2 linked regions of the Callithrix jacchus genome follow. The protein of the gene in region 1 purifies or fractionates together with the protein of each later gene. This does not show direct contact. Links are inferred from orthologs where the notes say so. Each region holds a gene or a part of one and is shown on either strand. Other genes may lie near its edges.

Region 1 (3,809 bases):
CACCCACATAATTACATAATTCTCTGTGTACGCTTTATTTCACAGACATCCTTGTACAGGAAACAAGAAACTAGGATTGCTTAAATCTACAAACACCCACTCAGAGTAAGCCAATCCTACCTGGATTGTTACACCTTACACATTAAAGTTACTTGCTTGGTAACTGTAAAAAAAGTACCTATTATCAGGTAAAGAGAGAGTGTGCACCATCTCTAGGTCTAGGTTTAGAAACACACAAAGAAAATAAACAAAGGAGAGAATTATGAAAGTTGTGGCATTTGGGATCACCTGTCTCTGAAATTTGAAAATACCATTTAGTATCAAGATGACCAAGAGTCTAAGAATGTGATTTGCATGGATATGTTAAAGGGAGGTAACATTTTGGATTGACAACTGACTGTACAGTTTGCCTAACGAAGTTTAATGGTATAAATAAATACACATGTAAAAGTATCGTAAAACATAACTGAAGACCAGCACCTTCCTGACTTTGTTACCTGGCTTCTCCGGTCTGTGTTTCTAGTTGGTTCACCCAAGCCTTGTATACCTCTACAGGGTTTGTGTTGATAGTCAGCGACTTGTCGTCGATGATCTCTTTCACCACTGGAGCCAGGAGTTGGCGCAGGGTGTTCTGTCCTCGGGCACCTCTGTTGAAGCTGACAACCATCTTGATGACTGTAGGGTTACCAGTAACTATGTCCTGGACCTGGTCCACTTTTGATCTAAAAAAGCCCAAGACAAAAGAAAATGGATTGCTTCTATGGAGAGTTTTTTTTTTTTTTTTTTGACAGAGTACTGCTCTGTCACCCAGGCTGAAGTGCAGTGGTGTGGTCTTGGCTCACTGCAGCCTTTGCTTCCCGGATTCAAGTGATTCTCTTGCCTTGGCCTCCCGAGTAGCTGGGACTACTGGTGTATGCCACCACATGTCCAGGGCTAATTTTTGTATTTTTAGTAGAGACGAAGTTTCACCATGTTGGCCAGACTGGTCTCGAACTCTTAACCTCAGGTGATCCACCCACCTCAACCTCCCAAAGTGCTGGGATTACAGTCCTGAGCCATGGTGCTGGGACTGAATACAGTTTTAAACAATGTATCCTCTCTCTGGCAGGCAAGGAATTCACGGAATTACACTTTTTTCTATGAAAATCAAAGTTAGCGTGCTTTAAAAACAAGCAATCATTTATAAGGTGTATATTTCTTTTTTTTTTTCTCTCTTTGAAACAGAGTCTCACTGTTGCCCAGGCTGGAGTGCAGTGGCTCACTGTAACCTCTGCCTCCAGGGTTCAAGCAATTCTCCTGTCTCAGCCTCTTGAGTGGCTGGGATCACAGGCACATGTAACCATGCCCAACTAATTTTTGTATTTTCCAAGAGATGGGCTTCAGCATGTTGGCCAGGCTGGTCCCAACTCCTGACCTCAAATGATCCACCCATCTTGGCCTCCCAAAGTGCTGGGATAAGAGGCATGAGCCACCACTCCCAGTCTCCAAGGTGTATGTTTCTTAGATGAATAATTTGAGGATCTAAAAATAAAGTCACAGCCTCAATTTCAACCTATAAGGCAGGTATAAGCTGAAAATAGACCGGGACTAACAATACTAGGTAACACTGTACAAGTATCACTCCTCTGTTGTTATCAAATTTCAAAAACAACTTTCTTGACTGAATAAACTGTTTCACTTCTTCAAATCCTACTTAAAGCTGCGATACAGCTTCTAGCCATATCAAATGGCTGAGAGAGCGCTTCTTGATTTACGGTGCTGACTCTCAGGGCCTCTCCCCTCTCTTCCTCCCCTTTCTCCCTTCCCCCTTTTGACCACCCTCTCCCTCTTCCACCTCCTTCCCCTTTAGAGCCTGACAGTGCCTGGTCCTTATCTTATCCAGTCATTCTTTTTTATTTCCTTTTCTGGCTCCTCTTCCCACTTTTAAATGCTGTTTTTGTTTACTTTTTGACTAATTGTAGGTGCTTGTAAGGAGAATGAGGGTAAATCAATGTCCAAACAAAAGAATAACTGGTCTACCAGAGCCCAACCAAACCTCATGCACAGGCACAGCTTGACCCGTCATCTCTCTGGGACCTACCCCTCTGAGGTCAGGAGTTTGAGACCAGTCTGGCCAACATGGTGAAACCCATCTCTACTAAAAATACAAAAATTAGCCAGGCGTGGTGGTGAGTGCCTGTAGTCCCAGCTACTCGGGAGGCTGAGGCAGGAATATCACTTGAACTCAGGAGGCAGAGGTTGTAATGAGCTGAGATCATGCCACTGTATTCCAGCCTGACCGACAGAGCGAGAGTTCATCTCCAAGAAAAAAAAAAAGATTTCACAGATCCCCAAAAATCAAATAGAGCCTTAACAGCTGGGCCTTTACTCAGTGTCTCCCATGACCTGGCCATACCCTGTCTTTCATGGTTCATCTCCCCGTAGTTAGTAATCGAGTCACATTTTGGGTAGACTAATCTACTTTCCTTCTTGCACCTACGCCCATGTTGTTTTCACTACCATTGTGCCTTATTTCCCTTTTCTATCTCTTTTTATAAAAATTGTAGCTATTCCTCAAAGTTTTGTGTCAAGCACCTCCTCTTCTATAAAATCTTTACTAGTGAACCAAGTTGGAACTTCTCCAATCCTCTAACCCGATACATTGTACATGTCCTCCATTTAGACACATCCTTCATTTAGCACTTACCACATTCCACTGTACAGCATTCCTATTTCTCCCAAATCACATTTCTCAAGGGCTTGTAGACACCTCGAGGGCAGAGGTGCCTGGCTCCCATGCTCCCAAAACCAATAGGAGCTAGCATAACTTAAGGTTTCTACAAGTCAGAAAGGCCACCTGAGCTAAGGACATTTCTCATGCATGTTTCTCAGCCCACTCATTATAGCTACCTAGACAACTTTTACATTAACTGAGTCAGAAAATAAATTAGCAAAGGTAGCTTAAGTTCTAGTACGAAGGGAAGACGATTTACGCAGAGATCGTGCTCTGCATTCCCACCCGTTAAATGGCTTTCCTACTCAGAATTTTAATTAAGTTAAATGTTCTCACTGGTTTTCAAGAAGCTATTGCTTTTCAGTCGTTACAAACATACAAAATCAAGAGTTAATTTAACACTAGAGAAAGTATCACTGGTGGGAGAAAATGGTACCTGAATATAGGTCTAATGATATAGAAATATTCTCAAGAAACTTGATATATTTTAATATGTGAGAATAACTTATAATAATTTAAAAATAATTTTAGTAAATCAAAGACAGCCTCCACTAACAAAAGCATCTATTCATTGGTATTTTTACATATGTATTTATATACCTACTTTATTTCTTCCTCCAGAGCAGTTTTAAAAAGCTTGAGAAGTAGATATTCTTCTCGCTGATTAGAGGCATAATTATATAGTGTGAAAATAACAGTATCCATAAATTTAGTGGACTTGTTCTGTGGCATCTGGAAAATCAGCTTAGCCAAGTATAAAGGGTTGGTCTAGAAAGAAAGAAGGAAGAAAACAAAAAATCCCACGAAACAATAGGTTAATATATTATTAAAGCACACAGCAGTATCTGATTCCCTGCTCTTCAATGACTTAATATGTCATGAAAAGCATATAGATAGGTATATAAAATAATTTTTATGTGCCAAGTACTCATCTCTATGCTTTCAGTATATAGTATAACTTTCTACTATTGCTTCCTATAGACTGATATATAATTTTCTACTTTAGCTTCTTATGGCATATTAATATTTTAAAATATTACTATCAAATATTACTTAATATTAATATACTATAGGAAGCTAGAGTAGAAAATTATGA
Region 2 (4,585 bases), about 120 Mb from region 1:
CATGCCCAGCTAATTTTTTGTATTTTTAGTAGAGACGGGGATTTGCCATGTTGGCCAGGCTGATCTCGAACTCCAGACTTCAAGTGATCTGCCCGGGGCTTCCCAAATTGTTGGGATTTCAGGCGTGAGCCACCGGGCCCTGCCAGCAACAGTTTTTGTTTTTTGTTTTTGTTTTTTTTTGGCTGAATGGACATTGTTATTGCCAAATAAAGGTATGGTGTATGATTTTAGACTTCCTTATAGTTTTAGAATCCGAATTTTCTAGAAGGATCTAATGTAATCGCAGATAGTTATCAGATAAAGAATGAAACAGGAGGAATCAATGCCTTCTGATGGCCTCAAGCAGGTGTTAGCAACAGGGAGCTTGGCTCCTGCAACCACAGGTTCCTCTTTTTTTTTTTTTTTTTTAAGATGGAATCTCAATCTGTAGCCCAGGCTGGAGTTCAGTAGCACGATTTCAGCTCACTGCAACCTCCGCCTCCCAGGTTCAAGCCATTCTCTGCCTCAGCCTCCTGAGTAGCTGGGATTACAGGCACCTGCCACCACGCCCGGCTAATTTTTTTTTTGAGACGAAGTTTCGCTCCTGTTTAGCGTGCAATGGGGCGGTCTCAGCTCACCACAACTTCCGCCTCCTGGGTTCAAGCGATACCCATGCCTCAGCCTCCCAAGTAGCTGGGATTACACGCATGTGCCATCACGCCCGGCTAATTTTGTATTTTTAGTAGAGACGGGGTTTCTCCATGTTGGTCAGGCTGGTCTCGAACTCCCTATCTCGGGCCACCAGCCCGCCTCGCCCTCCCATCCGTATTTTCGGGCCTCCCGCCCGCCTAGGCCTCCCATGCCTATCTCGGGCCTCACAAAGTGCTGGGATTACAGGCATGAGCCACCGCGCCCGGCCTAATTTTTGTATTTTTTTTAGTAGGGACGGGTTTTCACCAGCGTTCGTTTCTTCCCGGACGCTGGTCTCGAAATGCTGACCTTGTAATCCACTTCGGCCTTCCAAAGTGTCAGGTTTACAGGCATGAGCAACCGCGCCCAGCTACTACAGGTTTTTCTTTCCTTTTTTTAAGACGGAGTTTCGCTCTTGTTACCCAGGCTGGAGTGCAAATGGCGCGATCTCGGCTCACCGCAACCTCCGCCTCCTGGGTTCAGGCAATTCTGCCCCAGCCTCATGAGTAACTGGGATTACAGGCACACGCCACCATGCCCAGCTAATTTTTTTGTATTTGTAGTAGAGACGGGGTTTCACCTTGTTGACCAGGATGGTCTCGATCTCTTGACCTCGTGATCCACCCGTCTCGGCCTCCCAAAGTGCTGTGATTACAGGCTTGAGCCACCGCGCACTGAACCCCAGAGAAAGGACCCGCAGATCCCGCCACGCCTATGCCGCGTTAGCGCGCAAAGATGGCAGCCGCCGCGCCCCGTGGGCGGAGACAAGCGGGCCCGAGCACTTCCGAGCGTTCCTGAAGCCCAGAGGAACTCCGGGAACCGCGCGGGCGGGAGCTGCCCCACCCGGAACCTGGGAGCGGCGGCGCCGGCGCGGGGGAGGGGAGGCCGGATGTGAGTGGAGCGGCCATTTCCTGTTTCTCTGCAGTTTTCCCCAGCTTTGGGTGGTGGCCGCTGCCGGGCTTCGGCTTCCAGTCCGCGGAGGGCGAGGCGGCGTGGACAGCGGCCCCGGCATCCAGCGCCCTGCCGTCCTCAAGCCGCGCGCCCGTCCGCCGCGCCCCGAGCCCGCCGCTTCCCGTTTCAGCGCCGTGCCGCTGCCGCCGCGGCCCAGCGAGCGGCCCAGATGCAGGCCATCAAGTGTGTGGTGGTGGGAGACGGGTAAGTGCGTTGCCGGGTCTGGGCTGGGGGCCGCGGGGGCGGGCGCGGGCCGGGGTGGGCGCGGGCGGGGGGCGGGCCGGGATTGGGGCCCAGGCAGGCCGGGATCCCTGGCGGGCTCGCGTAGGCGGTGGGCCTGGGCCTGTGGGGCACGGGGCGGGGGCCGCGGGCGCCGGCTGCCCGGGCGGCGCGTGCCTGGTTCCGGCTCTCGCTGGGGGAGGGCTTCGCCACTCGCCGGCCGGTGGAAAAAGTGAACTCCACCCTCCGGCTTTCTTCCCGGACGCCGCCCGCCGCCCGCCGCCCTCCCCGGGAGCCCTCGTAGAGGAAGCGCTCTTGGAGATTTTTACCGTTTTTCCAAAAAGGGACCCTCTCTTGTTTTTTTGCTTGAACCTCTCGATCCCTGGACCTCGAGAGCTGTGTTGGGAACCCGGCGGTTGAGTCGATCATATTTGATGCGTGCCCGATTGAACTGGCCGCTTTAGTGCCCCAAAGTTTTCTTTAAAAATTTTTTTTTTTTTTTTGCAGAGACGGAGTCTCGCTGTGTTGCCCAAGCTGGTCTTGAACTCCTCCTGGGTTCAAGCGATTCTCCCATCCCAGCCTCTCAAAATGCTGGGATTACAGGCGCCTACGCCTGGCTAATTTTTAAAACTTTTTGTAGAAATGGGGTCTCACTGTATTTCCCAGGCTGGTTTCGAATTCCTGGCTGGGATCAGGCGAACCTCCTGCCTGTCAGCCTCCAAAAGCGCTGGGTTGACACCGCGCCCGGCCCCCAAACTGATTTTTGAGCAGGTTTTTTCGACTTACACTTCTGCCACTGTTAGGATTCCTAAAATTAATGCTTTCTCCCTTTCCGAGGATAAAGTTTTTAAGATGCTCCCTGGCAGGAGCCATCTGTGATGGGGACTGTTCTTTTATCTTTCTTTATTTTATTTTATTTTTTTAAACGTGGTGTGGTCATTGAAAAAAAAAAAAAACTTTCTTGCTTAACGCGTTGGGTATGGGATGTAGCAGAACTGGCTCCTGTGACTCCAGGCGTTGCTTTTCATGACTGTCCGTGTTGGTTACAGGCCCTCGAGAAGGACAAGACTTGTTTTATGCCGTTTTTTTCTCCCATAGAAACAAAAATCTCAGTGTAACCCGAGCAAAATCGCGCGTCTCAGGCGTCGCTTGTATAGGTTAGTGTTAGCAAGGAAGAATTACTAACAGTTTCGTCAAACTCAGAATGCAACTGGTACATGTTCGAGTAAAGTCGAAGGAAAGTTAGGGCATCAAGGTTAACTTGGTTGATATTCTTCGAATTTGTCATTAGGTTTTGGTTTTATGCCTCTACGTCAATTCATGGATTCTCAGTGTATTTAGATAATTATACTGTTAAGACATTTGCAATTGTTTCAGTTATCCTTCTTGCAATTCAGATGCAAGAGGATAATTAGACAACTGATTTTTGTGAGAGGCCCATCTGTCGGATTTGTCTTGCAAGTGTGAAGGATTATTAACGCCTCATAATTTTATGTTTATATGATAACTAAAAATTGTAACTTTCAGTTAGAGTACGTATGCTGTTCAAGCTTTTTTTTTTTTTTTGACTCGGAGTCTCACTCCGTTGTCCAGGCTAGAGTGCAGCAGTGTGATCTCTGCTCACTGCACCCTCTGCCTCCCAGGTTAAAGTGGTCCTCCTGCCTCGGCCCCCCTAGCAGCTGGGATTACAGGCACGTGCCACCATGCTTGGCCGGTTTTTGTAATTTTAGTAGAGATGGGGTTTCGCCATATTGGCCAGGCTGGTTTTGACCTCCTGACCTTGTGATCCTCCTGCCTCAGCCTCCCAAAGTGCTGGGATTACAGGCATGAGCCATTGTGCCTGGCTGGGCTTTACTTTTTTATTTGGGAAAAGTGTTCAGTCAATTGATTGATAGTGACATCAGTGAATTGTTTCATTTAAAAAAAAATTTTCGAGACAGGGTCTCTCAGTGTTACACAGGTTGGAGTGCAGTTGTGCCATCTTGGCTCACTGCAACCTCCACTTCACCCGCTCAAGCGATTCTTAGCCTCCCGAGTAGCTGGGATTACAGGTGCCTGCCACCACGACTGGCTAGTTTTTGTATTTTTAGTAGAGATGAGGTTTCACCATGTTGGCCAGGGTGATTTTGAATTCCTGACTCAAGTGATCTGCCTGCCTTATCCTCCCAAAGTGCTGGGATTACAGGAGTGAGCCATGGCACCTGGCCCACCTTTTCTTAAGAACATTTAACATTATTTGGATTTCCTTTAAGCTAAAAACGCTGAATCAAGTTTTTTTTTTTTTGTTTGTTTGTTTGTTTTTTTTTTTGAGATGGGGTCTCAGTCTGTTGCCCAGGCTGGAGTGTGATAGTGTGATCTCGGCTCACTGCCACCTCCATCTCCTGAGTTCAAGCGATTCTCCTGCCTTAGCCTCCTGTGTAGGTGGTGTTACGGGCGCGTGCTACCACCCAGCTAATTTTTTGTATTTTTAGTAGAGATGAGGTTTCACCATGTTGTCCAGGCTGGTCTTGAACTCCTGACCTCAGGTGATCTGTCCACTTTGGCCTAGGATGACAGGCCAAAGTGCTAGGATGATAGGGATGAGCCACTGTGCCTGGCTGACCATATTATTATTATTACTATTTTTTGAGACAGGGTCTCACTCTGTTGCCTGGGCTGGAGTGCAGTGGTGCAGTCTCTGCTTGCTGCAACCTCTGCCTCCCGGGTTCAAGCGAGTCTTGTGTCTCAGCTTCCTGAGTGACTGTGA

What was found.
Region 2: the proteins of IQGAP2 (region 1) and RAC1 purify together in Homo sapiens (affinity purification with mass spectrometry; 5 studies listed by BioGRID and IntAct, with this or other methods). This does not show direct contact. The link is inferred for Callithrix jacchus from reciprocal best matches to the Homo sapiens genes IQGAP2 and RAC1.

The regions. Positions count from the first base shown.
Region 1 is NC_133503.1:134,364,832-134,368,640, forward strand, and holds part of IQGAP2 (ras GTPase-activating-like protein IQGAP2), read right to left. Parts: intron 3,482-3,809; coding exon 3,318-3,481; intron 723-3,317; coding exon 498-722; intron 1-497. UniProt on the Homo sapiens protein: Binds to activated CDC42 and RAC1 but does not seem to stimulate their GTPase activity. Associates with calmodulin.
Region 2 is NC_133503.1:16,113,012-16,117,596, forward strand, and holds the start of RAC1 (ras-related C3 botulinum toxin substrate 1), read left to right. Parts: upstream 1-1,582; 5' UTR 1,583-1,789; coding exon 1,790-1,824; intron 1,825-4,585. UniProt on the Homo sapiens protein: Plasma membrane-associated small GTPase which cycles between active GTP-bound and inactive GDP-bound states.